Neurospora crassa OR74A: one gene and its partners. The protein of the gene in region 4 interacts with the protein of the main gene of each other region in a biochemical or structural test. Links are inferred from orthologs where the notes say so. Each region holds a gene or a part of one and is shown on either strand. Other genes may lie near its edges.

Region 1 (4,770 bases), on a different chromosome or scaffold from region 4:
ATTTTGCGACCTGTTTTTCGACAAAGCGAGGGTGAAGAAAAGTATAAGAATGGATCCAGAAGATGAGTTTTCTTTTTGGGCCATATGATAGCTTATGGTTTTACAGAAGGAGAGGGACCAGGAGCAGGGGGGATCTCCCAGTTGTTGACCCCGTACCACCAGCGCCGCACCCGGGCTCCGATCGAGGAGCCGTGAATCTGGGCGTTTCGGTTCCAGGACTGCCAGCCGCAGACTAGGATATTGTAGAGGAGACCTTGAACTAGGGGCATCATGACCTGTTGTTTTTGGACTGTTAGTTGTCCGGTATTCATTTTGAGAGGACGGCGATGTATCTAGAAAGCCAGCGGGGCAAAGGCCGGGAAATCTCTAGATGAGAGCGATGATGGTGGTGTAAATATTCCAAAACAAAAAAAAGCAACTTCAACATGCCTGATCCCTCGCCGTAATCAACACCACCTTCCACCACGTATCTGCATTGCGTATACTGTGCAGGTAGCTCTGCTCGTACCGCAGGTCCGGGATCGGGGGTAGGTGATGGATGTTGCGCCGGGGCCTGGACTTGACCACGTTGTATTCGCTCGCCTCATCCGTTTCTGTTTCCGACTGTGCGTAGTCCTCCTCGTCATCGTCCTCGTCGATCCCGTCGTCAGGTATGAGTGAGTCATGATGCTGACTGTGACTGGTCTGGGTCCGGAGGGACGCAGGCTCGCGCTTGGACGCGGCGGTAGAGGGGTTGATGTCGTGCGAAGGAGAGGGATCGCGCTTGATGTGCGCTGTTTGGATGGTCTCAGCGATCTGTATGGGGATGTCGGAGTTCATGGTTTACGGCGCAGACTGCAAGTTCTATAGCCCGTCTCGAGGTTGTTGTCTATGGGAGGTGTAGAGGACTACTCTGCTCTGAGGTGAGGTTACGCGCGAGCGGGAGATAGCGAACATCGAGGTCAATCGACATCATAGCTTCAGGTACCTTCCGGGGTTGGCGCAGTCCACTGGAGCGGTACGTATTAGCTCCTGTACATTGCACTACACACCAGGGCAGTGTATAACACACGTAGGGCTACGGGCAGGCAAGGGGCCGACACCCAGCGACTACCTACCTCTAGGTACATATTGCTCTCTCCGGGCAGAAATGTGTCACAGTCGCAACTTCCAAGGACGTAACCATGGAAGACACCCGGCAGTATAAAGGCAGTAACAACATTGAGGCCAAACATCAAAAAGTCGGCCGTAAAGGAACGGCATAACACATCCCATCGAATTTCTAAGTGGTTGACTAGGTACCTAGGTAGGTACTAACACGGCCAGACCGCTTCCATTGTCATCGCCTCAAGATTGCCATCTTTGTTCCTGCTGTGACGACAATCCTCGACACAATCGTAGGCTGATTCGGAGCAATTCTCTGCAAGTTCAGTCTGAAACGGGAAGGAAATGTGGGACCCGGTGTGCTGGACGGCCAAACGCCACAGCCTGAAGTTGTGCCAAGTTGATGCGGTGTTGAACTGAAGGACGAGGTCAGGCGGGAGAAGGGATGTGCAGGTGTGAAGGGTTCAAGTTGCTAAGGCCCAGGGCAAGGGGCCCCCCACGCCAATGATGACTCGCGTTTCGCCCCACCTGTGACGGAGAAAAAGAGAAGGTGCCTGATAAACACACGGGCAGACAGGTCGAATAGGGCAGCGGAAACCCCTCTGTAGGTACCTTGTGGCAGGCGTGGCCCACTCGCTAGGTAGTGAACATAGGTACCGGCAAACTAGGTACGCACCTACGTCTGCCGCATTTACTCCAGATCAGGCGGGGCATTCTCCCGGCTTCTTTGGGTTCTTCTTACTGACAAGCATCAATTCAGCCAATTAGCCCATTGTGCGCTTTCAAACCAGGTTAGTAGTTCTAGAACTGGAACCCCACTGAATACAAGGAAATCCAGCGGCGAGGCACATTGGCCAGGCGAGGCATAGTCGAAGTAGTGGGCAAAAAGAAAAAGAACAACCCCAACCTGCCCACTTTGTGGTCCTGCCCTGCTCGCCGCCCGTTGAAAGCAGATCCAACCAAGGTCGACATCACAAACCTCGCTCGCTGCACCAACTTAACTTCAGGGGCGCCAGCAGCACTTCGTCTTCCTCATCTTCTTCACCACCCCAAAACAGCCAAGATGGATCCCAACGCCAACGAGGCCGAGAAGAACGTGAGTGGCTCATCATCATCCCTCTCCCGACTGCGCGCGCGCGCGCAAAAAAAAAGAGAAAAAAGACACAGTTCCCGACGTGATGTTCGCATGCTGACGAGATGCTCTTGTCCCTCATAGATTGAGATATGGAAGGTCAAGAAGCTGATCAAGCGTCTTGAGGCCGCCCGTGGAAACGGCACCTCCATGATCTCGCTCATTATCCGTACGTTTGTCTTTACCATGGCATTGTCACCGCCGTCTACCCTCCCTTGATCACACAGCGAGATCATTGGCAGTAATCCTCGCTGCTCTGCTGCTTACGGCCCAATGTCCAGTGGTGCTAACCCTTGATCGTCTCCAGCCCCCAAGGATCAGATCTCCAGAGCCGCAAAGATGTTGGCTGAAGAATATGTGCGTCACCATGCTTCCCTCCAATCTCGACACCCTTATTGTGTCGGACAGTTGTTCCTGACTTAGCACTATAGGGCACTGCCTCGAACATCAAGTCGCGTGTCAACCGTCAGTCCGTCCTTTCGGCCATTACCTCCACCCAGCAAAGGCTCAAGCTCTATAACAAGGTGCCGCCCAATGGTCTTGTCGTGTACTGCGGTGAAATCTTGACCTCAGAAGGCAAGGAGAGAAAGGTCAACATCGACTTCGAGCCCTTCAAGCCCATCAACACCTCCCTCTACCTTTGCGACAACAAGTTCCACACCGAGGCTCTTGCCGAGCTTCTCGACTCCGATCAGAAGTTTGGTTTCATCATCATGGATGGTAACGGTGCTTTGTTCGGCACTCTCAGTGGAAACACCCGCGATATTGTCCACAAGTTTTCGGTCGATCTTCCCAAGAAGCACGGTCGTGGTGGTCAGTCCGCCCTGCGTTTTGCCCGTCTCCGTGAGGAAAAGCGTCACAACTATGTCCGCAAGGTCGCCGAATTGGCTGTCCAGTGTTTCATCACCAACGACAGGCCTAACGTTGCCGGTCTCGTTTTGGCTGGTTCCGCCGATTTCAAGAACGACCTGAACGCCTCCGACTTGTTCGATCCCCGTCTCCAGACCAAGGTTGTCAAGGTTGTCGATGTCTCGTATGGTGGTGAAAACGGTTTCAACCAGGCTATTGAGCTGTCCTCCGAGACCCTCGGAAACGTCAAGTTCATCCAGGAGAAGAAGCTCATCGGCAAGTACTTCGAGGAGATTAGCCAGGATACCGGCCGCGTCTGCTACGGTATTGAGGATACCCTCAAGGCTTTGGAGCTCGGTGCCGTTGAAACCCTCATCGTCTTCGAGAACCTTGAGGTCAACCGTTGGGTTCTCAAGGACAGCAACGGATCCGAAGTGATTCTGCATACTACCAAGGCACAGGAGCAGGCCAGCCGCGACGCTTTCATGGACAAGGAGACAGGCCAGGAGATGGAAGTTGTTTCCCAGGAGTCCTTCCTTGAGTGGATTGCAGAACACTACAAGGATTTCGGTGCCACGCTCGAATTTGTCTCCGATCGCTCTACCGAGGGCAACCAGTTTGTCAAGGGCTTCGGTGGTATCGGCGGTATCCTCCGTTACAAAGTCAACTTCGAGCAGCTAGCTGACGTCAGCGACGATGATGAGTACTACGACGATTGACAAGTTGAATCCCTCGCCGACAACGAGGGACCCGGAACTCAAGCTATCCCGTCCGAGCCGACGACGACACCTAAAGCTGATTCAGCGCCGCTTCTCAAGCCAGCCAGCTCGGGCAAAATGTCCGCAGCTCGCTCCGGCGCAAGCCCTCATCAGCCGGGTAACCACCAGGTGTCCCGCCCGAGCCCGCTTCGCTCTATGATGACGGCTTCTTGAGTTTGATTTAGTGGAATCTAAGGTATGGCATTTTCTTGTTTGGTCGACCTCTGGCCACTCGCTAACAGCCGCAACAGAATCAAATTGCCTATGACTGAAGCGGAAGTTCTATAAATGGGATGCAGAGTTGATTCTTCGCAAGTCTTACCAAGACCAACGAATGAATTGTCCAAAATCCCTTAGCTGGACGCAAAGCAATACCTCAAGTTGGAAGATGGAAAGGATTGAATGTCTAGCGCGGAACCATGAGGAATGGATTTGCTTTTATTCCGGGGACTGACAGCGTCTGTCTTCATGAACACTCTTTTATGCTTTCGGTTCATAAAAACTGGGTTATGGAATTTTGGGTGGAAAAAATCAAACAGGTCGATATGAGATATGGTTTAACTAGGGCTTAGTACGCGGTAGCCTAGGACCGAATTCCACGCTCATTCTGTCTTTGTTAGATCCTGATGGCTTTTAGTTTCGATTGTTCTTGATAACCGTCTGAAGGGTAACTATCTACAGTTGGCGCTCTCAAATAGTGCCCATACTCCAAAGATCAACAAAAAAAAGAGCTGTCCTATTGTACTGTTATTAGCGTAAATACTAGGTTTCAAAAGCAGGGACTATGCAGTCCTCGGCGATCACAATGTCATCACTCGTTCATTGTGGGGCTGTCCTGGAAACGCGACTTTGATGAGGTCTGGGAAATCTGAAGCCGGTAATCGGGGCCGGAGCGGGGCCCGGCGGTCGGACCTTTGAGAGGTAACCGTGTGTGGCCGGTCGAAACCA
Region 2 (5,082 bases), on a different chromosome or scaffold from region 4:
AGAACAACACAGCAACAAAACCGAAAACAGGTGAAAGCGCTCGATTCAAAAATCCGAATCCAGAACCTCACAGAAACCTTGGACCCGGACCCTGCAAATCTTTTGTCCAATAACAAAAATATCTAACCGTAGAGATGCTTCCATGACCCCCCATTGAGATCAGCACCAAAATGATGATCAAGTCAGCAGTAGAACAGCCATCCGAGTCCCAAAAAGAAAAAAAAGAAAAACAAATGAAACAGAAAGCAGTATAGGTAAGCGACAACGCGGGAAAGGTAAGACCGAGTGGTCACTTCCGCTTCCGCTCATTCTCCCATTATGCCGCGTTTCCCGATCGACCAGCCAGCCGGTTATATGTAATCCTTGGCTTGGCGGGGTGTTGGAATGGCTGTTGGGTAGGTAGACGGGCCGACCTAACAATGTCGTTGTCCCTCTTGTTTGTACTTTCAAAAATCCCGTGATGAGAGCCAAGATGAAGTGAAAAGTGGACAAGTTGAATCATCGTTCTTCGCAGTTGGATTCGGCCCCGCCGTGGCTTCCCCCCCTAAGATACGTACACGACTGTGTGTTTATTTGGCCAACTTGTTGTAGCTGGAACTTGCACATATTCCCACATGTCGCTCCGCGTCGTCTTTCAGCAAGTTATGGTTTCTCTCCAAGGTCAAGTCGAGAAAGGGAGAGATTTTCTGGGCACATTGATTTTCATTCTGTAGTAACTATGTCCATCTATCGGTTCTAGCCACCCCGCTTGGTAGTCTATGGTCACGATCAATTTTCTCCTCGTGTGTGTCGTTTGGTGGTGGTGACCGAGGATTGTCACCTTGAATCCATTCCGAGATGCAGTAGTCCAAGCCGTCTTCTATAAAAGATATAGCCATTTGATATCTAAGCCTGCTATGGTATTCCCATTGACGTTGGCCTCGCGTGTCTCTGGCTATTGTTGAACCTTGAGAGGACGCAACATGCTAAGAGAGACCAGCGCCCTTTCCTCTCCCAACATTCACAACAGGGGGCCTAAGAACTTTTGTCGGGGATACTCATTATCATGAAAATTGTCATCATCAGCTCCCACCACACATGCCGCCTAAACCAACAATACCAATCTCAATGCGAGCCTGACGCGATGAAAGCTGAGCACCAAAAGAAGAAACAAATCCAGTAACGCCCAAATATGGTGGACCATGGTCAAGAACCGCACATGGCGGACAGAGACCAAAGCAAATGCCCCCCGGGTAAAAAACAAATCCAACACGCCCACCATTCTACATACACTCAAGGGGGTGGATCCGAACAGGTTCCCGAATGTTGTCAAAGGCCGGCGTTAAAAGCTGTTCTTCAGGCCAATCCAAGACTGCTGGTCCCTTCCTGTTGAGGCGACAAGAAGGACAAAGGTATCCGAGAGTGAACTACCACAGAGAACCGATACTCATCGCTTGACCCCATTTAGAGGATTTCCTTCAGTTTTTCCTTTTGTTCAGGCGTCAAGCTGGTGGGGAACTTGACATTATACTTGACGATGAGGTTGCCCCGTTGGCCTGGTTGCTTCGAGATGGGCATGCCCAGGCCCGGATATACATCTTGGCTCCCAGGTTGTGTCGGGCCGGCCTTCTCAATGTTAATGCTCTTGCCGTCGATCGTCGTGATGGTTCTCTTCCACCCTGTCAATGCCTCCTTGAGGTCTAAGTCGATAGTATGAATTAGGTCGTTGCCGTCCCGAGTGAAAAGCGGATGTGGTTTCTAAAACCACATTGTCAGCTGGCCATTCCTTCAAAAAGGCAATGCGTGAAGAAAGGGAAGGGAGTTTATACGTACCTCTTCGACGACGAACACCAAATCCTGCTGGCCACCCTCTTCTTGATCACCAACACCCTTGAACCGGATTTTGCTACCCTTCTTGAGGCCGGGCTTGATTGGTACCTCCAAGACGGTATCGCTCGTCGTGCGCTTACCGGTCTCGTCAAAGGTCTTGCGCTTGATCTTCATTTTCTTCGTCGTGCCGTGGAACAGATCCTCAAGGGATACGGGTAAGGGGCGTTCAACTGTCGTGACTTCGGGTGTTGCTTGGCGGGCGCTGCGCATGTTGTCGGCGCCGCCGAAGGGGTTTCTCGCAGTTCGGCGCTGTCCTGCACCACCACGCGCAGCATTAAAGAGGATGTCTTCAAAACCCATTCCGCCCATGCCACCACCCATGCCACCACCCATGCCGCCGCCCATCTTTTCATCCCGGAAAGCATCCCGGAAGAGGTCCTCGGGGTTGGTAAAATTGAATCCATAGGAAAATGTTCTCGCACCTCCTCCGCCACCAGGCATGCCTCCTCCTCCAAAGAAAGAAGCAAAGCCCTCGGGCATGCCACCAGCTCCGGCAAATGGGTTTGCGCCGCCCTCAGTCGGGGGCGGGCCGCCTCTCAGGATAAATTCAAGGCCGAACTGATCGTACATCTTGCGTTTCTCGGGATCCGAAAGGATTTCATACGCCTGAGAGCACTCCTTGAATTTTTCGGCAGCCTCCGGGTTGTCCTTGTTCTTGTCGGGGTGCCATTTTAGGGCGGCTTTCCTGGTGAGGGGTCAGCAGGGGTCCACTGAAGGCTGTAAGAGAGGATGATGTGAATGCCAAAGTGAAAGAAGGATGGCGTAGGAAAGAGGAGATCTCTCCCTCGATCTTATACTGCGAGATGCGAGAGCAGTTATGTGGGGTTTCGGGTTGGAGATATGCTCACCTGTAGGCTTTCTTGATCTCGTCCTGGGTAGCCGTAGGGCTGATCCCTAGCAGGTCGTAGAGCTTCGTTTCCTTGACCATCTTTGTGACGCAATATTAGAGACGAGTGTAGTGTATGTGAGTCTAGTAAAAATGTAGAGGCTGTTTCGCGAAGCTTGATCAGAGCCGCGAAGTGTCTCGGCGGTCGTTAGGTGCAAGGGAGAACAATTAACCCGACGTGTTCTGTGTTGTTGTAGTGGTACGGGTAGGGTAATTAAGGTAGAGTGAGGTAGCGATGACAGATGCGTATTAGACGTTAGCGATTCTATAGCGCTCGTGGGTCCTTTGGATGGCTCGTAAAGCGCCTGTCAAAGTCGATCTTGATGGAATGCGCGAGAGCAAATTCGCAATGCAAGAGTAGGGATTTCAGATATTGAACAGAATTGAGATGCAACACAGAGTCGGAGAGGAAGCTATCACTTGGTGGAAGAGGGAGGGACAAGGCCATAAAATGCCTTGGCGAAGGGCGTGTGTAGCAGGAACAGGAGGTTGTAGAACCTTCGACCGTGAGCCTATCGGCTTCCAAGACCTGGAGATAGTGACGCAGGGCTCGCGTAGTGGGTACATGCTAAAAGTAGCGCCTGTTAGTAATCTTCATGTCCCCGAGCAGTTTGCTGCTGCAGGGAAAGAGTAATACTAACAATGTAAGTCCAGGCCAAGTCCCCACTAACTGATGCGGGCCGCCAAGCCAGCTAGCAGGAAGGGAAGCTCCATTAAGTAGTTGACCTTCGCTTGACCTCAGCGAAACTGTGCTAGCAGTCTGCTGAGCGGTTGGGACGCGTCCGGAGCACCTATCAAAGATGAACATCATCACCCAGCACCTTCGATGGGCTGCACATCACCAGATATTTGAAAGTTAGATCCAGCTCAGTTCGTCATACCAGTATACCCATTCGCCCGCAATCCCATTCTTCTGGTACTCACTCGCATCGATGAAACAGGATGGATTGCCGTAAATCATGATCGCGATTCCAATCAATCATCCTTACATTGTGCCTTATTACAAGGCAACGAAGAAGGTTGCACAACCTCATGGAAGCCAACAGCAAGCAACGGCCGCACTCGATCTTTTAATGACAGCCCCATGATAAGGAAAATCCGCGACAACTCCACACAAATGAGGCCTGGATAGCTCACCATAGAACTTGTAGTCAGGAGCAGATCAAAGTCAAAGCATGTCTTCAAGAACTTCTCCATATGAAGGATTAAACTAGTTCGTCAAATATGTGTCATCAACCACCAAGGAGAAGCAAAGCGGGACTCTATTTCTCGAATCACGACGGTACAGAGCAGATCTAGAACAAGTTAGACCTGAGGCCTACTGTCATGACTTTCCAAATAAGCCCGGTTGACCTGCTCTGATGACCCCTGACGAAGGCAAAAAAAAAAAAAAAAAAAAGGTGCAAAAACACGCCAAAACAAACACCGAGAAGAATAATCCACGTTGCTCGGTATGTCCTAACTCAAACCGCTTCGTACACATAGAGAGTCGAATTCCTTTCATCGGGCAGGAAGAACAGCCTCATCTTACCGTCCACGACAGCCACATCCATTGGATTCTTGGTCATTGCAGCACCATGTTCCGACACCAAGGTCACAGGAACCTCGTGTAAAGGAACCATAGTTTCCATGTCCACTATCGCGATACCGCCGATTCTCGTGTTCGCCAAGTCTGCAACGCCAGAGCATAACATCACTGGCCGGGTCTCGTAAAGCTCGTAACGACCCAGGAATTTGCAATCCTGATAGTCAATGAAGCTGCTCGGATTCCTGACCACTGCCCGCGGCTGAGTGAACTTGGCGGGCGCCAGATGCTTGTCGTGCCCGTTCCAGATCGACGCTTTGCGCGACCCCCAGTTCAAGGTGACTACAGTTCCGGACTTTGTGTCGTGGACCGCTCCTCCCTGGTGGTCTGCAACGCTCAAGATGGGCTCTGGTACCAGCGTGTCGGGGCGCATCCTCACAAGCGTTCCAGTTGTGTTGGGACGATACTGGGAGAGGGTGGCCCAGATGTAGGTTCCATCGTAGTCAATGCCGCCGTTGTGGTACTACTTGTGCTGTCAGCCGCGGTAAGATTGTTGAGAACGGGCTGCGCAACGGACGGACAGACCTCGAGAGACTTGGCTTGTGAGATTGAGGCATCAGCAATACGCTTCCCTTTGCCATCGAAGATGATCATATGGGCAAACCCTTCGCCAGCTGTGCGATCCGTGCCGTTGATGGTCTCATTGTATTTGACCGTCGGCACAATGTATTCACCAGCCGACACGAAGTAGCGGTCATTGCCGATGCGAACTATTCCTTCGGGCTCATAGGTGTCGCCTTCG
Region 3 (4,987 bases), on a different chromosome or scaffold from region 4:
TTGACATTGCGATCGTTGTCTTGGAGCCGCTTCTGGATTTCCGCAATGCGTAGCTCGACAATCTTGCGGATCTCGCGACGAGTGAGACGGTTGAAGATGACAATTGAGCTGATACGGTTGAGGAACTCGGGAAGGAAGTAGTTGCGCAGGGCGTTCATGACAAGCTCGCGAGTGGTTGGATCAATCTTGCCGTCCTTGGCGTTGGGACGAGAAAGGTACTCAGCACCCAAGTTAGACGTCATGACAACGATGCAGTTCCTGGCATCGACGACTCTGCCCTGACCGTCCGTGATACGACCGTCATCCATGAGCTGTAGCAGAACGGTCAAGACCTCCTTGGCTGCCTTTTCAACCTCGTCAAAGAGAAGGATGGAGAACGGCTTGCGGCGAAGGGCCTCAGTCAGCTGGCCACCAGAGTCGTGACCGACGTAGCCGGGAGGAGCACCAATCATGCGGCTGAGAGAGTGACGCTCCTGATACTCAGACATGTCGAAACGGATCATGGCCTTAGGATCATCAAACAGGAACTCGGCAAGAGCCTTGGTGAGCAGAGTCTTACCGGTACCCGAAGGACCGCAGAACAGGAAGCTGGGAGGCTGGTTGGGGTTGGAGAGACCCGACCGCTGCAGTCTGATAGCGTTGGACACAGACTGAACGGCCTCCTTCTGACCGACAACAATCTTGCTGAGATGCTTCTCCATGTGCAAAAGCTTCTCCTTCTCGCTGGTCTTGAGGCGTGTGACGGGAATACCGGTCCACCGTGCTACAATCTCGTTGATCTGATCGGGACCAACGACATCGGTGATCATGGCACCGCCGGTTTCGGCCGCAGCGGCGTTGAGCGCAGCGTCAGCCGCAGCCTTTTCCTTCTCAAGCCTCTTGATTACTGCCTCCTGCTCGGGGATGGCGTAATACTGAAGATCAGCAGCACGGCTGTGATCTCCCATTCTGCTAGCCTCTTCGGCCTTTTGTCTCAAGCTCTCAAGCTTCATCCTGGCTTCCTGGAGAGCCTTGGCTCTCTGTTTCTCCTGTTCGTATTTCTCACGGAGGGGTCTGAGCTCCTCCTCCACATTCTCGGCATCCTTCTTCGCCTGTTCAAGACGAGCCTTGGAAGCCTCATCCTTCTCGCGAGACAAGGCGTGAATCTCAATCTTGAGCTGACGCAACTTGCGCTCCAAGGAATCGATGATTTCGGGCTGCGATTCTCGAGCGACTCTGACTGCGGCAGCCGCCTCGTCGATCAAATCGATAGCCGAATCAGGAAGTCTGCGGGAAGTGAGGTAGCGGGCCGCAAGATTTGCAGCGGCCACAATGGCAGCATCGGAAATAGTGACACCATGGTGCACCTCGTACTTCTCCTTGAGACCACGTAGAATGGAGATTGTCTCAGAAACGGAAGGCTCCTTGACAATGACCTGCTGGAAACGACGTTCAAAGGCAGCATCCTTCTCGATGTACTTGCGGTACTCGGCCAGGGTGGTAGCGCCAATGCAGTGAAGCTGACCACGGGCGAGCATTGGCTTCAAAAGGTTGGCCGCATCCATGCCACCTTCTCCGGACGCGCCAGCGCCCATGAGCAAATGGATTTCATCGATGAAAAGGATGATCATCTCCTTGGACTCGGAGATCTCCTTCAGAACTCCCTTCATGCGCTCTTCAAACTCACCCCTGTACTTGCTACCAGCCACCAGGGCACCGACATCAAGAGACAGAAGCTTGCAGTTGGCCAGATTGTCGGGCACATCAGCGTTGACGATGCGCTGAGCGAGACCCTCAACGACGGTAGTCTTACCGACACCAGGCTCACCGATAAGGACAGGGTTGTTCTTGGTACGACGTGAAAGAATACGGATCACTCTCCGAATTTCCTCCTCACGACCAATGACGGGATCAATCTTGCCTTCCCTGGCCATGGCTGTCATATCAATGGTGAACTTGGCGAGATTCTCGTGCTCCTCTTCAGTGTCAGCATTGCGAGAGTCGACGCGCTTGGTACCGCGAATGGCCTGGATGGCATCGGTAACGAGCTTTGGCTTGGGAATGTTGGCCTCCTTGAGCGCATTCATGATCGAGGGCTCCTCGGCCAGGGCTGTGATAAGGTGGTCGACGGCAATGTATGTGTCTTTTTGCGTCTTCTGCAGCTCGTTGGCCTTGCGCAGGACTGTATGGAAGGAAGGAGCCATCGAGACATGGTCGGGAGGAGGGTCTTGGCTGGGGAGGCGGACGAGGGCCTTCTTGAGGGCGCGGTCGAACAGCTGGGGATCGCCGTGGGCTCTCTCAATGACTTGGCGGAAGAGAGAGCTGGTTGCCCCGGCTGGTGCATTTTGCTGGTCCTTGCTCGGATCTGGGAGAGGGTCGAGAAGCGCGACTGCCAGATGAACGGGGAGGAGTTGCGAGTGGGCGTATTGCTCTGCCAGGGCCATGGCATCCTCCAATGCCTTCTTGGCCCGGTCTGTAAATTCCATTTTCGACGTCATGATGAATTAGTGTGCGAGACTCTGTTGGTCCCTACAGAATTTGTGTGGTGTTGTGTTTCGATTGGGGGTGTGTGTGTATGTGTTATTGTTGATGTACAAAAGAGAAAAATCGCGGAAATGTTGAGATGAAGCTAGTGTGACGTGAGGCTTCACTCTTGATGTATATCTTGGAGAAGAAAAGAACAATTGTGTTTGGGGTATCTCTTAGTAGACTTTTGTGTTTTGATCTGGGGAACAAACAAAGAATCGCTGACGGGGGGGAGAGGTCAGAAGGAGTGGAATTTATTCGTGAGCCTTGGTGGGGAGAGAAGTCGCGAGTTGATGCCCGAGCTGGCCGTGCAAGAGCAAGTGGGATGAGTATCTACCTCTAGCTGCTTCTCGATGGTCCTCGCAGCCTGTCGCAAGTAGAGGTAGCTGTGCGGGCGGGCGCACGGGAAGCGACGACATCATAGTGACAAGCAAGCAGGCTGCCCGCAAGAACGAAGCGACTCGAATCTTCAGCGGTCTTCCTGTCACCATATACTGTTGGCTCCTGTTCGGGCTTGAGGGGTATAAAGTGGGTACCTGGAGGGCGGGGCACATGGAAGCTTTCCAGTGGGGTCCGCGCTTTCGGACTGTCTCTCCGTCATCGCAGTACCTGCATCGACCTGACTCCAACCAGAGAGGATTGTCGAGACCCAAACAGCTGGACGTTACTGCAATGCTTCTTTTCACTTCCGTCTTCTCCTTCCACTATAATCCTTCACCGTTGTTCTTTGTCTTCGTTTGCGCAGATGAACAACAAGGGACGTTCTCTCCCAGTTGGACGAACCACAATGTCGGTATCCTCACACTCCAGCATCTCTCTCTCACCATACATACCTTTTCCCATCTACAGGTCTGGCCAAGAAGGCGCAGTAAGGTCTTCGGCGATTACCGCGTAAGGGAAGCTCCTTGCGCATCCGTGATTTCTACGACGAGATAGTCGAATACGTAATGTTGCGCATCGTGGTGGGTTGGGTATCATGAGATTCCTCTAACCAGCGCGCCCAACGTGAGCCAGTTTGGTTGGTCACACTTCATATTCCTTCGAGATGGATGAATTCGGTGCATTCGGTGGTATTCTATACCACAATACTCCCACGTCTCGTTTGCCACTATGTAGTCATCAACACCTCCCCACTTGAGAACCTCGGACAGGAACGGAGACACTGGTTGAGGAGTCTGAATGGCAATCGATCAACTCGATGCTTGATACTAGTTTGGCTTCTTTTTGTGTCAGTAGAAGTTGACTTATAATCCCTCTTTGATGGGTGCAAGGCCATGGCTCGACCCATTCACGACCAGAACCACAAGCTGCCACTTCCAACGTCAAGTGGCCTTCTAGTTACGCTTTTGTCAGTTGAACAGCGAGCTTCTTTGCTGCGATATCACTCCGATATGCATTACAATCTCTGGAAAGCTAACTTGCACGGTTAACCCTGCCAGCAATCTGGGCTACCAGGACGATTGAGAAGTCAGCCAGGCTCGCCGCGCAGGAAAACAATCGTGTAGATGAGGACCGAATCCTGAAAGAGAGTAGCCCGCTGGATACAGCTGGAGATCATTGGCCTCGACTGGGGTTTGTTTCTTCCATCACACCAGGACTTGGATGAACATCGCGATGCAGGAGTTCCCTCTGGAAATATAAACTTCATGGATGTGGCATATTATCCGCTTCAGGTTGTCACTTCAGTTGCCGGCCTGTGACAGTGTCGCTAGGGCGGCACGCTGGGGTCGCGCACGGCAAACGTAGAAGCGGGTAAAAGTGGGACTCGGCTATTTTAGCTACGAGTATCCACTGCAGCCATTGCATCTAAAGCGGAGAATTGATGGCTTGGCGTCTCCCCATTATCGGAAGAGTGGGTTTCCTTGTCGATAAAAAAAAGTTCTGGCAGAGAAACGCGGGCGAACCTCCATCGGTTGCGGCTGTCAGCGCTTGGAGATTCCCTCGCATTGCATCACCAACTCCATCAATTCACAACACACCGACAAGATGCGCCCTCTTACAGAAACGGAGCAGAAGACCGTCTTCGAGAAGGTCAGTTTCAGTGCCGAAACAATGTCATATTCAAACAAGGATGAACAACAGCTGACTGATTGCTTTGGCACCCTAAAGCTTGCAAACTACTGCACCGATCTCAAGAGTCTTATCGCTCCTCTCGATGATGGCGACAGATACGTTTTCCGTCTGAACCACTCTCGCGTACGTCCTGCCTCTCTCGCCTCCCTCGCTTCCTCTCGACCTTGCTCGATACACCGTCTCTTCCCTTTTGGCTGTGCGCCACCGAGGACAACGACAGCCGTTGCGACGGCGATGACAGCCACCACACCACCACCAACCAGAATAAGGGCCAGATAAACTGACAAAGATGATGATATACAGGTTTACTACGTCCGTCTCTCCGTTGCCAACCTCGCCACCAGTGTCAGCCGCGATGCCCTCCTCAGCCTGGGTACCTGCCTTGGAAAGATGACCAAGACGGGAAAGT
Region 4 (5,000 bases):
CAGCTGCTCTTCCCCTCATACGCTCGGTAGCCTCCGGAGTGGACCCGCTGAATCGGCCCCTCCTCCTGGGCCCGTTCGGCATCTCCTTCCGACGGGAATAGCTCGTCATCGGTCCCGCTCTCCCCGCATGTTCCTCGGGGAGTTTTTCAGTTGGGATGGTCGACTAGCGTCAGTTACAGCTTGGCTTTCTTGGGACATCAGTCCCGATTGAATGATCGTCAATGAGCTGGGTCCCCGGTACGGGTATATCCGTATATCCTCCGGGTCCAAAGTAGTGTAGAGGTTTGGGCAAACAAAAGTCACCGTCAAGTCAAGCGAAAAGAACTTGGACACGTAGACCAAGCCATCCGGACTTCCCAAACGCAACAAAGCTTTCTCATTCCAACTGGTATTTTGCTCTATATCCCCAATGCTTCGTTTCGAAAAACGTAAACAGAACCCTTGCTAAGGCTTTCCCCGCGCTCAAGCAAATAACCAATGCAAAGCCTACTTGATCCCTTTTACATTTTTGACTCGAGCGGTGCAGTTTTTTTGCTCAAATTCGCCGAGAACACCAACCTTCTTTTGGCCATTTAAGCAGAGGTATCGGTAATGAGCTTGGTGATCTTGCCAATAGCGATGGTTTGACCCTACAAAATGTGTTAGTCCAATTTCACGTCAAGCAACAGACAAGAAATAACATACCTGGTCACGGAGGGTGAAACGACCCATCTGGGGGTAGTCCTCGAACCGTTCAACGCAGACGGAGCCGGCACCACCGGTAACCTCGAGACGAGCAATGATGCTGTCGCCCTTCTTGGCGTGCGAAGGAGGAAGCTTGGACTTCCTGTTGGTGCCCTTCTGAAGCTTGTGGAGGAGAGCGGCGAAAGTAACCTCCTCGATGGCGGCGTGAACATGAAGCACGCAGTTGAAACCGGCAGTCAGAATGCTCTTGAGGTCAAGAATACGGATCTGAGCCTCGAAAGCGGTGACGTTGTGGACAAGACGCTTGGGCGAGCAAAGGACGAAACCGGGCATGATTTCTTCTTCTTCGATGCCACGGAGACGGAGACGGACTTGCTCACCGCACTGGGCAACGGGAACCTCATCTTCCGTCTCGCCGTAGACGGCCGAGATTTCAATCGACTGCTTGTTAGGCATCATGATCAAGCTCATACCCTTCTTGATCACACCGGCCTCGATCTTACCCTCGATCATGGTACCCATATCACGGTACTTGCCAGAAACAGCCATCATAAAGGGGGCGTTGACCTTGCGCTCGAGAGAGCTCATGTTGTCGAGGTACTCAAGCAGCGAGGGGCCATCATACCAGGGGCAAAGATCCTTGGGCACGCGGTCCTTGATACCCATGGTCTGCTGGGCAGCGACGGGCATGAAGAAGACATCCGTCTTCAGGTTGTAACCAGTACCCTTCAAGAACTGGGCAAGCTTGGTGGTGCACTCCTTGTAGCGCTCCTCGGACCAGTTGACGGTAGGGTCGTCCATCTTGTTGATGACAACGACGAGCTTGTTGACACCCTGGGTCTTGGCCAACATGGCGTGCTCACGGGTCTGACCGCCCTTCTCGAAACCGGTCTCGTACTCACCCTTACGGGCGGAGATGACGAGGATACCGACATCGGCCTGGGAAGCACCACCAATCATGTTGGGGACATAGGTCTTGTGGCCGGGGGCATCGAGAATGGAGTACTTGCGCTTGTCGGTCTCGAAGAAACCACGACCAACCTCGACGGTCTTGCCCTTGGCACGCTCCTCGTTGGTCAAGTCAAGAGCCCACGAGAGGTACCAAGTCTCACGACCCATATCCTTAGCCTCCCTCTTGTACTTGTCAAGTGTACGCTGGTCGACCATGCCGGTGACGTAGAGAATGGCACCACCGAGGGTAGACTTGCCGGCATCGACGTGACCGATGAAGATGATGTTCATGTGCTCCTTGCCGTAGATTTCCTTGAGGGTATCCTCGTCAACATCGGCGGACTGAATATCCTTCTCAACAGCATCGACGTCGCGCGAAACCTTGTTGCCGGACTTGGCGGCCGACGGGCTGGCACGGCCCGAAGAGGGAGCGGGCGAAGTCCTGCCGCTAGCAGCAGCAGACTCGGTCTTTTGCACAGCCTTGGTAGCAGTAACCTTGGCGGCGGCCTCAGCGGTACCCTCCTTCTTGGCAGCCTCCTTCTTGGGCTCCTCCTTGGCGGGAGCAGTGCCGGAGATGGAGAGAACCTTGGCCGCGGGCTTGGGCGCATCACCCCCGATGCTCAAAACCTTGGCAGGAGCATCGCCTCCAACGCTGAGAACCTTGACGGGAGCGGCAGCGGTCTTGGGGGCGTCGGCCTTTGGTTGCGCCTGGGCAGCGGGCTGCTCTGGCCTCTTGACGATCTGAGGGGCAGGCTTGGGCGCATCGCGGTTCTGCTGTTGCCTCTGCTGGTAGCCCTGGTTCTGCTGGTAACCACCGTATTGTTGTTGTTGTTGTTGTTGTTGTTGTTGGCCTGCTATCCACGTCTATCAGTTAGATTCCTCGATCAAAGACTGTACGAACAAGCGGCGGCCTACCGTAGCCCTGGTTATATCCCTGCTGGCCGTAAACAGCGCCATAGCCCTGCTGCTGCTGGTTGTTGTACTGTCCGTAGCCCTGCTGGCCGTACTGGGGGTAGCCACCGCCGTAGCCCTGCTGGGCGCCGCCGTAATATTGCTGCTGGTACTGGGGAGTGAAGCCGGGAGCGGCGAACTGGCCGGGGGTGAAGGAGGGGGCGCCGGGGGTGAAGGCAGCGGCACCGGGGCGGAAGGTACCAGCGTTGATGTTCATCTGTTGCTGGGTCTGGCGCGCCAGGCGCTCATCCTGGTCGGCAGCCTCCTCCCAGTTGTTCTGAACGTTTCCGGACATGTTGGATAGATAGCGGTCGCGTGTGATTCTCGAGAAGGTGCCGGTAGAAATGTGTCTGGTTTCGGGGTCTCGCTCGTGGGCTGGAGAGTGGTGATAATAAAGCTGATGGTCAGCAAAGATGAATCCCGACTCTGTCGGCTGGGTAGCGACGTGGGTGTGTATAAATAAGGTAGGTCCCTTGCGCGAGGAGGGAATCCTGAAGTCAGGAGATGGAGATGGATGATTTATACTAGAAGACAGAAATGATGGTAAGCTAATGCGACCACAGACAGCCCTATATCAACTGCCTCTATACACCGTAGGTACTTACCCTGACGACGACCTGTACTTGGTTGTAGTACTCTGAGTGACCAGTCCAGTCGGCGCGTCCAACTACGTAGCGAGCGAGGGAACAAGTCGAAGAGAGATTTGGATCAAGAAACCTAACGCTGGCAAGGGCTGTAGGGCCCCACCGTTGATTGGGGAGGGCGTGCAGTGAGTGGTGGCGGGGTACATGACAATTTTTTGTCCCGCTGTCTACTGTGTGCGCTAGGACGGAACTGCCGCCACACACTGTGCGACTCGGGGAGTCACTCGCCGAAGAAGTGCGCCCAAAGCCAGCATTCAGTGGAATGGGATCAGCAGGATCACAGTGCGAACCTCTGCAACAGACTAAACCCCTGGTCTCTCTTGGCACATGCACTGTCCCAGGCCGGGCCGTGAACCCAAAAGAGACCCGGACGAAAAGAAGCCTGGACCCGCCAACCAACGTCACTCTTGAGGACCTGAACGTCAAACGGACGGGACGAACACTAACAATTAGGCATCGCTTCGTTCAAGTTCACTTGCTGCCGGAGAGCATTACAGTAAGGTACCTCTACCTACCTGATTCCGTACATAAAACTATCAAATAGGACAGGAACTGAATATGATATACACCGTACCAATCAAATAACCATCCACACATTCTTAACTTGAGCAAATCATGGACGCACTGTTGGCCAAGCTCGGGTCTCATGCGGTCAACTACGCCATCAGATCAGGCATCGCAATCACTTCCACCTACGCCGTCAACCAGTGCTCGAGGCTGCTCAAGACGGTCGACGACAAAGGAGTGTACACCGAGCTCAAGAAGCTGCAGAAGCTTCTGGATAGTAAGATCAAGGTGAGTGGCCATTATTATTCCGAACCCAACAATGCTAAAGCCCCTTCCAACAAAGACATGACACCCCTTGCTAATACGAATATTCCCCACTTCAGATTGTTTCACCAGCTATCGACCTGATCGAGTTCAAGTATGCCCAACCTACCTCTCTTCTTACTACTTACCTTGTCCTTGGCCCTTACAAGAATGTGACTAACGCTGTGTCCAAGATCTGGCCGTGGCAATGTCTTCCTCGAGGCTGCTGTGCCTCTTGCCAAGTCTCTCCATCGAGACATCATTTCTCTCGGGAAGCGCCTAAACGATGCTGCTACTGCCGAAGAGAGCTCCCGCTCCGATGGCAAGAAAGCCCGCATGTCGGAAGCTCATCATATTGAGCTGCTAACCATTATCAAGGAGATGAAGGAACTACTGGCCCGCATAGACAGAGAGATCCCTCTGATCCAACTCGCCATCACGGCCTCGGGAGAGAGGATGAACACGACAGTGAACGCTGGCATCTCTCCGTCGAGACTGATGCAGGCGAGTGCCTTCTTGTCATTCGGGGACTCACACTTTGTGAACAACCCTAACCGAGCAGTCCCCATCGGGCCTTCTTTCACACTATCTCTTTACATGCTCTTCCGCGGCCATTCCAGGCTGAAAAGTGCCAGTTCCGTTCCTGCCACTCCTAGCACTGGAGGCAAGACATGGACCAGGGAGCCATCATATGGTGTTGGCGAAGGTGAACGGAAACCCATCTGGCAAGAGGTGGTGCACAAGGCTCGTGTACGGCTGGTTCGCACACCGCTAGGCTGGAAGTTTGACAAGACTCGCGGATACTGCCCCGGTGAGTCTTCTGATGGACCCGTAAACGCGTACTCTGCTGCCGTTGATTCGGCCCTTTCGATGCTTGGCCGCCCAGACGAGTATGCCTATCACTTGGAGATCATTGAAGATCTCGACGACGGACGTGTACACGATGATGATGCCGCAGGT
Region 5 (5,014 bases), on a different chromosome or scaffold from region 4:
TGAGGGCGACATTGAGACGACGGGGATCCGAAAGGAAACCGATGCCTTGGTTCTCGTTGGAGCGAACGCAGGACAGCACAATGAAATCCTTCTCTCGACCCTGGAAGGCATCAACGGAAGCGACTTCAACTTCCCTGTAGGATTCCTTCTTGAACGTGCCAGTGTTCTGCATGGTATTGACAATGTAGCTGCGCTGACCCTCGTACGGCGTAATGACACCGATGTCAGCAGGCTTGACACCAGCCTTGAAGAAGCGTGTGACAATCTTCTCGACATTGGCAGCCTCAGTCCGGTTGAGGTACGATGTGCCCGAGGCCGATATTTCCTCGTTGCCCAAGTTGGACCAGAACATCATGGGAGTCTCAGGGACCGGCCAGGGAAAATCAACATCCTTGCGAAGTCTCTCGGCGGCAGTGACGCCGTTTTGCAACGATCCTTCGTAAAACATATTGGAGGGGAACTCAGAGAGGCAAGGATGCATACGATACTGGACCTTCAAGCGAATGGGGGTAAACTGAAGCTTGACCAACCTCTCGAAGAGCGACTGGTTAAGGCCAGCCTTGGCGGCCTTCTTGTTCATAATGACAGGGCCAAGCTGCTTGTGGTCACCAACCAGGACAACCTGCTTACATCCAAGGACCAGTGGAATCATGCACTCGGGTTCGGCAGACTGTGTAGACTCGTCGATGAGCACATTGCGGAACTTCATCTTGGAAAGTCGCGGATCTCCGGCACCAACACAGGTGCAGCACACTACATCAGCGTTTTGCAGGATCTCACGCTCGGCCTGGCGCGTCAGCTGCTTGAACCTCTTTTCATCCTGAGAAGACAGCTCGCCGGTCTCGGTCTTGAGCTTGACGAGACCATCAAGTTCCTTGTTGGTAGTATTCATGCGAACTTGCTCGTGGAGAGCCAGGAAACTGACGGAGGACTCGACATCCTCACGGGACTTGGCGGTCAAGCGAACGACCTTCAGGCCGGTTCTGTGGATCCTCTCACAGAGCTGGTCCACAGCAACGTTGGATGGGGCGCAAACAAGAACTTGGCTGTTGCTCATCTTGGCAAGATGGTAGATGATGGTGGCCGAAGTGACGGTCTTGCCAGTTCCCGGAGGACCCTGGATAAGGCTCAGAGGGTTGGACAAGACCTGCTTGATGGCGGCAATTTGGCTGGCATTGAGCTCAGGGAGACCGGGAACGTGGAACTTCTTGGGCATCGTAATCTTTGTCGGGGCAACCTGGACTTCGTGTCCCAGCAGCTTGTGGAAGATGTAACCAGAAACACTCATCTCGTCGACGGCAAAGGTCTTCATGGCCAGCTGCATGCGGTCATAGGAAGTCGCTTTCCACACATAGTCGGCCGAGAAATTGTGTGTGCATTCCGTGGGGACAGACTTGTCATTGGCTGACTTGCGAAGTTCCACCTCAACCTCGTCGGACTGGTTGTTGGGAATCTTGATAACATATCCAACACCCTCCCAAGGCGGGCGCAGCTCTCCCTTGTACTTGAGACGCATCTCATCGCCAACGGCCAGCTTAACGTCACCGGACTCGATCTTGGGAAGGATGAAGCTGGCGACGTGTTTACTATTGAGACCCAGATGCCAGCGGACTTGAAGGCCATCCTCAGACTGGGCCTCCTTCAGCTTTTTGTCGTAGTCGGATTCCATCTTGACGAGAGGGCCGAAGATGTTCTGATAATGATAAGGGTCGTCGTACTTGAGCAAGACCGGGTGAGGATCATCATCGACTCCGGCAGTCTTTTCGAGGTCGGCAACAGTCGCGTTCGGTGCCTCCTTCCACATTTCCTCGAGCTTGGCAATCATGGGCGGCGTGAGATGGCGAGCACGAAGCTGCTCAGCATCCGTGGGAGGGGTGACGAGCCAGTTGAGGAAAGCCCTGTCTTCGATCAAGGGTTGCCACCTGGATATATCCCAGCTCATATCCTTGGTCGACGTACTAGCACCACACGGCTGGCGGCAGAGGAGGACCACAACCGTGTCTGACTTGGCAGGGATGAAACCGAGGATGAAGACATTCTTGGTGCCGCAGTTGTAACATTCGAGGACGGTATCGCCGAGGGAGGACTCGGGGTGAAGTTGAACTTCCTTGTGACGGGCGCGAACAAGGTGGTTGACGATATGGGACGAGAAGGCGCTTCCTTTGGCGCTGCAGAACCACTTGTTACAGGTAAGGCACTTGACGACGCTAGAGGGCGAGTGGATGCCACAGTAGGCACAGGCGTGGGGAGGCAGTTCCTTCTCCTCCACGGGGGCATCCAGCTTGAGGCTCTTCATGCCGTCGACTGGAACGCTGGCCAAACTCTCGTCATCATCGTCATCAAGGACCTCGGTCTCGTTGTCGTCGTCATCGTGGCGGCGTCTACCATTGCCGCGGGGACCACGTCCACCGTAGACACCGTAGAGGAGGTTCTCATCGGGATCGATATTGGACAGTTCGTCGGAGCCACCGGCCTTGATGGCAGCAGCAGAGTCGGAAACCAAGTGGTTTCCAAGGTGTGTGAAGGACACCTCCATGTTGGCCATGATGGCGAGTGGGTTGACGGAGGTAAACTCTGGAGCACCAGCAGCTGGTCAGTAAGTGTCTGGGAGGGAAATTCGCAACAGTAACGTAGGGTCAGGCAGGTATCGTTGGGGAACGAGATAAGTAAGGTACTGTTGGTATACGCCGCGGTCCAGCCTGTAGCTGTTGAGCGGGCTGTTGGGGAGGGATGTGTATTTCAGTGTTTACATGAACATGACACGCAAACAAGCGGCGTACCTTGAAGAGTTCACACCCGGAAGTTTTGTCGAAAGGTAAAAGGTGTGGCTGTCGTATTGCGGGTTGTCGCAATGCGGGACTATGGAAAGATGTAGATTATGGGCTTGGACGTCGTCTAAAAGGTCACATCATCGCATAACGGATTGGATCGGCGAGCGGGCTGTGTTGCGCGCGGGGGCTTTCGAAACGACGACACTGCCAGAACGTCGAGGTGCTGATGCAGAGTGAGACCACTGATCGGCTCGCTTAAGGTTGTTCTTGGTGTTGTGAAGCAAATGGTTTGGTTGCCGCCGTTCAAGGTCACGGTTGTTGTTTGCTTGGGGGAATTTTGCCGGTGGCCGACTTCCGTTCAGTTTGTGTTGGCGGACGGGTCACGGTTGCGGTTCAGGTTGGAGGTTCGTCGTTCCCTTGTTTGATATCCGACGGCCTTCTATCAGCAGCCTCCAGTTCTGGGCTCAGCTGTTTGAGAAGCACGGGCAGTCATAGCGCCTGAAACTGCCCTGTATTCTAGAAAGCGGGCAGCAAGTAGGTAGGTAGGTACTGGGAAACCGGCACAAGCTGCAGCGAAGGGAGCCAGGGTACCTAAGGTGGCGTTGAACCGGGCGACCCAGGCGCGATCTCTTTCCCGGCAGGCGCAAATCGACGGGACCTAAGCCAATAGGTATCCGCCAAGCTGAAAAGATCCGTGCACCTCGCGCTTAGTCCCATTCGATTGTAACTTTTTTCGACTTTTTTCTCTGTGAACACCCCTGTCGTCACCAACCACTCCGCCCTCCACTAGTATCGACCCGGAACATCTGAATTTCTGCCAGTCTTCGCAGCCTTAATTCTTATCGACAACCTCATTACTACCACTTTCGACAACACGACTCTGAGAGCTCGGCGCGATCCCTTCCACCGAATCACTTATTACCGTCTGATAAGCGTGTCAACACAACAAGATGATTGTAAGTGTCCCTGTCTACTCGTCATCTTCTCCAAGTTTCTCAATGTCCATGACTAACATCTGCAATAGAGAAAGCAAGCTCGCCAAAGGCGGGACTACCTTTACCGAAGAGCCCTCCTGCTCAAGGAGGCCGAGGTTGCAGAGAAGCGCGCCAAGCTGAGGTCTGCCCTGGCCTCGGGCAAGCCACTCGACCCCGAGATTGCGAAGGACAAGGAATTGCGAAAGGACTTCGACTACGATGTTTCGAGGGATGTGAACGGAGACGCCATCGATATCGACGACGAATACTCGGAGTTGTCGGGTGTCATTGACCCCAGAATCTTGGTTACGACAAGTCGCGATCCCTCCAGCAGACTCGGCCAGTTCAGCAAGGAAATCCGTCTCCTACTACCCACCAGTGTTCGGCTGAACCGTGGTAACCTCGTTTTGGAAGACCTTGTTGGCGCCGCCAAGGCGCAAAACTTGACGGATGTTGTTTTGCTACACGAGCACCGTGGTGTCCCTACCGCCATGACCATTTCCCATTTCGTACGTTGTCCCTCCAGGCATGTTGTTGTACTTGCAAAACGCATTTTCTAATCCTTGCTATAGCCCCATGGCCCGACGCTCATGGTCTCCCTCCACAACGTCGTTCTCCGCGCCGATATTCCCAAGTCGATAAAGGGCACAGTCAGCGAAAGCTACCCCAGGCTAATTTTCGAGGGCTTCAGCACCAAACTCGGTGAGCGAGTGGTCAAGATCCTCAAGCACCTCTTCCCTCCCCGCGAGCCGACACAGAAACCCAACGTCGGCAACAGAGTCATAACATTTGTCAACAACGACGATACGATTGAGGTCAGGCACCACGTCTATGTCCGCACCTCGTACGACTCGGTCGAGCTCAGTGAGGTTGGACCCCGGTTTACGATGAAGCCCTTCAAGATCACCATGGGCACCCTCGACAACAAGGATGCGGATACCGAATGGCACCTCAGCCAGTACACCAGGACCAGCAGGAAAAAGAACTACTTTTAAGCGGTGATTGGAACAAAAGGGCCGCTATAGTCGTGTTATTATCGGTTGGATTGGGTGGGATGTCACAGCAAGTGAGCATGGCTTCCGAGACAAGTTGCTGCTGGGCCACGAACGTCAAGCACTGGACCTGATGATTGCGCCGGACAAACCTGAAAAAAGGATAGCCAGGGGAAACGCAAAGACACGATCTGGTGGCGGAAAGCCCTTTTCACCAATTTGTCTGCTGCTCAGTAGCAGGAGGCAATGGGAAGACCGCTCAGATGCCTAGCCGAAT
Region 6 (4,785 bases), on a different chromosome or scaffold from region 4:
AGACCGACGAGGTTCTGGGGCAGTTGTTCAAGTTGAGGGATGATACCCTCGATTAAGCGTGAGTGGTTGTCGGGGATTTCAGCTCGTTGCCGGTTTGGCGTGGATGTTAAGATTCTTGATGAAGACAAATTCCCTTTTGTTTTGAATTTGGTGAGATGTTGGCGAGGACGTGTGCTTTTGATACTGGTATCACACGATCGGGGAGATGAGGTTCATATTTACTTGAGTCTTCACGACCAACGAGAGGTGCCCTAACTGGCCCCCAGGAGGCTGATGTTTGGTTTGGAAAATTGACGTGTTGCTCCGGTCTCAGATGCTCAAAATCATGTCCGATTTGCCTTGAATGGCGAATTTACACGCACGCGGTCTTAAAGACTGTGAGTACACTGGATGGGTACGCTAGGAGCTCGTCGGCAGCCTATATCTAATGACCACAACATAACAACATGCAGTTCGCCAATGAAACGAAATATGGCATTCAGGAATCCTGATCATTTCGCTAACAATCCCAGAAAAAAATAAAACAAAATCCAGCTCCCCTTCCCCCTTTCTTCCTGGATCCAGGTGAGCAGCAATCATGTGATACGCGTAGCATGAGCATGTACTGAGTAGTCCCCCCCTGTTCCTTTCTCATGCTACATGACCTTCCTGTGTCCTTCATATGAAGCAAATAGCCGGGATAAGACGGTAATGCCATGTCCATGCCCTTCATCCTTCTTTTCTATCAGTCCGATATCCTCTCTAGAACGCCTGCCAATAAGACCGGGTGTTGATATATTTTGACATCGATAGAAGTAAAAGTCCACCATGTCATTAAACGCAGGTGAAATAGGGGGAACATCAAACAACGAGATTGAACCCTCTTCTTCCACCGTGATAGTGATAATCCGGGTGCTGTGTGGATAAGTGTGATCGTATCCCTTCCACCCGTGCCGACTTGATCACACTTCAGGTATTACCGGTTTTCACCTTGCATCATACCCCCTTTTTGTTCCCTTCTCCAACTCTTCGTTTTGTCGGCCCCTCAAATATCGTGCCTCGTCAAATGTGCAATACTCGATAATGAGTCGAGTAATCGGGTATATTTGCTTCGTTAAGGATGATCATGGGGACAAGAGACATGAAATGATTTAGAATCGTTGCAAATCATTCATCCTCCATAGCAAGTCTCAAACAATGTCGTGCATGGCACGCTTTGTTGGACCGTCGCTTGTGCCGCAATTTATCGTCGAATTATGGATAAGGTTGGTACTGCTTCCCCGCCCATTTAGCTCGCTTACTGCGAGGCGCACTGTACGCGTTCGGCCTGAGGCTCGTCATCCTCCTCCATAGGGCTGTTGGAGAAGCCACGGCCGGCTCCGTTGCCCTCGACGTCCTCCAATTCTGCTGGCTCGGTCATAGCATCCTGAGGGGGTACGTTGACAACAGCGGGGGCCGGGAGGTACTTGCGAAGAGCCTCGAAGGCAGCGGGATCCTGAGTCCAGTTCTTCTCGGGGAACCTGACGGAAAACTGGATATACATGTTGCCGTAATCGTGGTGGCGGTAGGAGGGCATACCCTGGCCACGAATCATCTTGACGGAGTCTATCTTGCTGTTAGCGCTTGCTGATGCATAATGTAGCCGGACAGAAGAACACTTACTGGGCGCAATAGCCTCGCCGGGCTGGATGTCGACGCTCAACCAGCGCTCATCGAGATGCTCGATGTAGATGGTTCCACCGGCAAGGGCGGTCACGAGATCGATCTCGCACTTGTAAAGAAGATCATCCTCCTGACGGGTGAAGCGGGGATGGGGCTTCTGCTCGATGACGAAGACGACGTCACCGGGGAGAATGCCAGGTGCTTGGTCACCCTCACCACGGAACTCGACCTTGGTGCCGCTCTTAACGCCACGGTCAACGTGGACGTGGAGGACCTTGCGATCGACAACGGTCTTCTTGCCATTGCACTGCTTGCAACGATCCTTCTCCTTGATTACCTCGCCTTCGCCATTGCAGTCAGGGCAGACGGTCTGGAAGCGCTGAATCATGGGGCCCATCTGCCTCATCATGATCTTGGTACCCTGACCATCGCAGCCAGCACACCGCTTGACGGCACCTTCCTTACCGCCGCGACCCTCGCACTTGGGGCAAAGGATTGACCGCTGAAGGGCCAGCTTGGAGATCTTGCCGCGGTAGATGTCCTCAAGCGAGACGTGGTGGGTGTGGTGAATAGTCTTGGCCTTCGCGGGGGCACGCTGCTGGTTCATACCGCCGAACATACCACCGAGACCGCCGCCGAAGCCACCGCCGCCGAAGAACTGAGCGAACAGATCCTCGGCAGCCATGCCGCCACCGGCACCGGCGCCACCCTCAAGACCAGCCTCGCCATACTGATCGTAGATGGCGCGTTTTTGGGAGTCGGAAAGAATTTCGTATGCGTGAGAAATCTCCTTGAACTTCTGCTCGGCAGCCGGGTTGTTGGCGTTCTTGTCTGTAGTGTTTTGTGGTCAGTAAGCCTTCTGGCTGCGCGTGTTGCAGGGAAGGCGGAACATACCTGGGTGGTACTTAAGGGCACCGGTCTTGTATGCCTTCTTCAATTGCGCCTCAGTGGCATCTGGGCTGACCTAAATATGGGCGTTAGGGGGCCTCCTCTGTCAGGCGAGGGGTATCGGTAAGCAGCAGAACTTACTCCAAGAGTCTCGTAGAGCTTTGTTTCCTTGACCATCTTGACTGTCTGGTCTAGTTATGTGAATGGGTGTGGGAAAATGTTCTGGCAGTTCGGAATGCTCTGGACAATCAGTTCCGATGACAATGACGGATATGGGAATGTGTCAGGGCCGTTAAGAAATCGTGGTCTGATGGGAAGACAGATAAGGTCAGCGGCTGCGAGGTCGTGTCGAGAATAATGGAGATGGAGTCGAGAGGAGACAATGAATGGCTGGTGCAAATGAAGAGTGGTGGTGGACAACGGTGGAAGAGAAAGATCTTTTTGCGCAAAGGGTTGGGAAAGGCCGACGGGGTCCCGAGTCGGGGTTGGTTTGGCAGAAGTTGGGGACTTCCAGGCCTCGCTTGCTGGTCCAGGGCACCGAGAAAGAAGCGCAGAACAGGAACGGACAGAAACAGGGATGGACCTACCAGAACAGCTTGAGCTACAGTGACAGCAGCAGGAAGCGTCCGAGATGAAAATAGTTGATAAGGTACGGGATTTGAGTCGCCGGAGGATAGTTGGGAGTGATAGGAGGCTTGATGAGGCGTAGTTGTAGTAGCAACACGCAAGACGGAAGATGGGGTATAACGGAATGACTGATCAACTTTCTCGAGAAAACTGTCCAAGTACCGGCAGCAGGGTTCAAATATTATCAACCAAGGCAGGGCAACAGAACCGGAATCTTCACTGCAATTCTGGAATAGGCGCAGAGGGAGGGATGCGGCGGGCGCCTTGTGCGTTGGGGGGAGGCCCGGAACGGCAAAGGAGGCTGAAGTGGGTGACTGGCCCAGTGAGTTCTTCTCCAGCCCCTCTCATGGAAATCAATCGAAAGCTCTAGAGTGTGGCTGACAGATATGGGGGCCAGTAATGAGCTACTTCCTCGTCCCGCTCCTGCAGGGTTGCGAAGAGGGCGTGCGAGGTGAGAGGTGACCAGGTTCCCCACACTCATCCCAAAGTACCTCTTTATCACTCATTGAGAGGATCTAGCCTCAGGAGATGCAGATGGAAATTCGGTTGACCTTGGAGGACCCTGTCGATCGTGGCTGGTGCGCTCCAATGTGACAGTGACCAATGCCCAACTTTCAACTTTTATTTTAACCGCACGCAATCATGCAAAACATGGTGCATATGTACCTTTGATAAAACTGTAAAAACGCACACCATCTTTACACTAGGCATTTTATCTTCTTTTTACAAGGCAGCATGCATGTCCTCTGATTGGGTTGTTGGTGATGTTGTCTCGTCTGGATCCGAGTTGGCGTCCGCTCGAAACCCTGCAGGCGTTCCGCTTCCCAACAACCCCCACTAACATCTTGAGGTCGCCTTTTGCCCCTCGGTTTTTCAACCCCCTTCAACCACTCGTCGCGGGGCAGCTTCTCATAAGGGTTTACCTTTCATCTAGAGAATTCCAGGTGAAGCAAGCGAGAATGACGTGCGCTGCTGCTTTGCTTATCGATCACCAAAAAGACTCGGAGCGTCTATCTGTGGTTCAAGAGGAGATACTCGGGATCAAATCATTAAGATCCATGAATTATATAGCCTCAGCATCTGTGCCTTACCGAGGTGTCCTAGCTCAGATGCCTTTCTCTTTTGTCTCTCTCTCTCTCTCTTTCTTTTTTCTTTTTTTCTTTTTTTCTTTTTTTTTTTTCAAATGCCTACAGTACACCGGTTCAATGGCAGTTTGATATGAAACTAAATGGTTACCCTCGCAAACAGCACCTTATCGCACTGAGTGACATCTCGGAAGTGGGGGGTCTGCTACAAAGGCTAGATAGGTATACACCAATACCACGGAGATACCAGGGAGATAAGGTGTCTTAGGTCACATATTCAATCAGCCTGATGTTCATCAAACGTGGAAAATGGGAACTTGGCGAGTTGAAGTCGAGTGACAACATCACGGTGGTACTTCTGGAAAAGTTATCTCTTCCAGACCATAGCTACCTACCTTCTGCACTCCAAAGTTCTCTCAGCCCTCTTACATAGCATACCTCTTATTTGACCTCCCTAAATTCCTCCATCATGGATGATGCTGCCGGTCTAGCCATTGCCTTCAAGGAGGCTAAGAAATCATATGAACAAGGAGGAATTCCTGTA

The links.
Region 1: the proteins of NCU04790 (region 4) and NCU00410 form a complex in vitro, tested with the Saccharomyces cerevisiae proteins (6 studies listed by BioGRID, with this or other methods). The link is inferred for Neurospora crassa OR74A from reciprocal best matches to the Saccharomyces cerevisiae genes SUP35 and SUP45.
Region 2: the proteins of NCU04790 (region 4) and NCU03732 are reported together in a solved structure, tested with the Saccharomyces cerevisiae proteins (2 studies listed by BioGRID, with this or other methods). The link is inferred for Neurospora crassa OR74A from reciprocal best matches to the Saccharomyces cerevisiae genes SUP35 and SIS1.
Region 3: the proteins of NCU04790 (region 4) and hsp98 form a complex in vitro, tested with the Saccharomyces cerevisiae proteins (7 studies listed by BioGRID, with this or other methods). The link is inferred for Neurospora crassa OR74A from reciprocal best matches to the Saccharomyces cerevisiae genes SUP35 and HSP104.
Region 5: the proteins of NCU04790 (region 4) and prd-6 form a complex in vitro, tested with the Saccharomyces cerevisiae proteins (2 studies listed by BioGRID). The link is inferred for Neurospora crassa OR74A from reciprocal best matches to the Saccharomyces cerevisiae genes SUP35 and NAM7.
Region 6: the proteins of NCU04790 (region 4) and NCU07414 form a complex in vitro, tested with the Saccharomyces cerevisiae proteins (2 studies listed by BioGRID). The link is inferred for Neurospora crassa OR74A from reciprocal best matches to the Saccharomyces cerevisiae genes SUP35 and YDJ1.

The regions. Positions count from the first base shown.
Region 1 is NC_026503.1:3,759,760-3,764,529, reverse strand, and holds NCU00410 (eukaryotic release factor 1), read left to right. Parts: upstream 1-1,684; 5' UTR 1,685-1,751; intron 1,752-1,843; 5' UTR 1,844-2,146; coding exon 2,147-2,179; intron 2,180-2,299; coding exon 2,300-2,384; intron 2,385-2,522; coding exon 2,523-2,572; intron 2,573-2,646; coding exon 2,647-3,783; 3' UTR 3,784-4,018; intron 4,019-4,073; 3' UTR 4,074-4,630; downstream 4,631-4,770. Other genes in the region: NCU00411 (hypothetical protein), read right to left, coding at 93-275, 430-819. UniProt on the Saccharomyces cerevisiae protein: Component of the eRF1-eRF3-GTP ternary complex, a ternary complex that mediates translation termination in response to the termination codons. The eRF1-eRF3-GTP complex binds to a stop codon in the ribosomal A-site.
Region 2 is NC_026505.1:2,238,210-2,243,291, forward strand, and holds NCU03732 (SIS1), read right to left. Parts: upstream 3,233-5,082; 5' UTR 2,798-3,232; coding exon 2,718-2,797; intron 2,555-2,717; coding exon 1,813-2,554; intron 1,738-1,812; coding exon 1,444-1,737; 3' UTR 685-1,443; downstream 1-684. Other genes in the region: NCU03733 (hypothetical protein), read right to left, coding at 4,219-4,803, 4,866-5,082. UniProt on the Saccharomyces cerevisiae protein: Required for nuclear migration during mitosis. It is required for the normal initiation of translation. Might mediate the dissociation of a specific protein complex of the translation machinery. Essential for viability.
Region 3 is NC_026503.1:2,635,645-2,640,631, forward strand, and holds the start of hsp98 (hsp98-like protein), read right to left. Parts: upstream 2,973-4,987; 5' UTR 2,478-2,972; coding exon 1-2,477. Other genes in the region: NCU00105 (ribosome biogenesis protein NIP7), read left to right, coding at 4,492-4,536, 4,615-4,701, 4,882-4,987. UniProt on the Saccharomyces cerevisiae protein: Required, in concert with Hsp40 (YDJ1) and Hsp70 (SSA1) and small Hsps (HSP26), for the dissociation, resolubilization and refolding of aggregates of damaged proteins after heat or other environmental stresses.
Region 4 is NC_026506.1:822,148-827,147, reverse strand, and holds NCU04790 (eukaryotic peptide chain release factor GTP-binding subunit), read right to left. Parts: upstream 3,305-5,000; 5' UTR 3,192-3,304; intron 3,111-3,191; 5' UTR 2,882-3,110; coding exon 2,551-2,881; intron 2,490-2,550; coding exon 685-2,489; intron 630-684; coding exon 573-629; 3' UTR 83-572; downstream 1-82. Other genes in the region: NCU04789 (RanGTP-binding protein), read left to right, coding at 3,846-4,025, 4,121-4,155, 4,235-5,000. UniProt on the Saccharomyces cerevisiae protein: GTPase component of the eRF1-eRF3-GTP ternary complex, a ternary complex that mediates translation termination in response to the termination codons UAA, UAG and UGA.
Region 5 is NC_026505.1:5,329,521-5,334,534, forward strand, and holds the start of prd-6 (ATP-dependent helicase NAM7), read right to left. Parts: upstream 3,301-5,014; 5' UTR 2,781-3,300; intron 2,575-2,780; 5' UTR 2,546-2,574; coding exon 1-2,545. Other genes in the region: NCU04243 (U3 small nucleolar ribonucleoprotein IMP4), read left to right, coding at 3,722-3,727, 3,796-4,254, 4,318-4,740. UniProt on the Saccharomyces cerevisiae protein: RNA-dependent helicase required for nonsense-mediated decay (NMD) of aberrant mRNAs containing premature stop codons and modulates the expression level of normal mRNAs. Also capable of unwinding double-stranded DNA and translocating on single-stranded DNA.
Region 6 is NC_026501.1:6,009,075-6,013,859, forward strand, and holds the start of NCU07414 (DnaJ family protein), read right to left. Parts: upstream 3,434-4,785; 5' UTR 3,117-3,433; intron 2,837-3,116; 5' UTR 2,707-2,836; coding exon 2,671-2,706; intron 2,606-2,670; coding exon 2,536-2,605; intron 2,473-2,535; coding exon 1,642-2,472; intron 1,585-1,641; coding exon 1,277-1,584; 3' UTR 57-1,276; coding exon of another isoform or gene 1-56. Other genes in the region: NCU07415 (proline iminopeptidase), read left to right, coding at 1-56; NCU07413 (cytosine deaminase), read left to right, coding at 4,711-4,782. UniProt on the Saccharomyces cerevisiae protein: Probably involved in mitochondrial protein import. Is also required for efficient translocation of pre-pro-alpha-factor. Involved in heme regulation of HAP1, as a component of the high-molecular-weight (HMC) complex.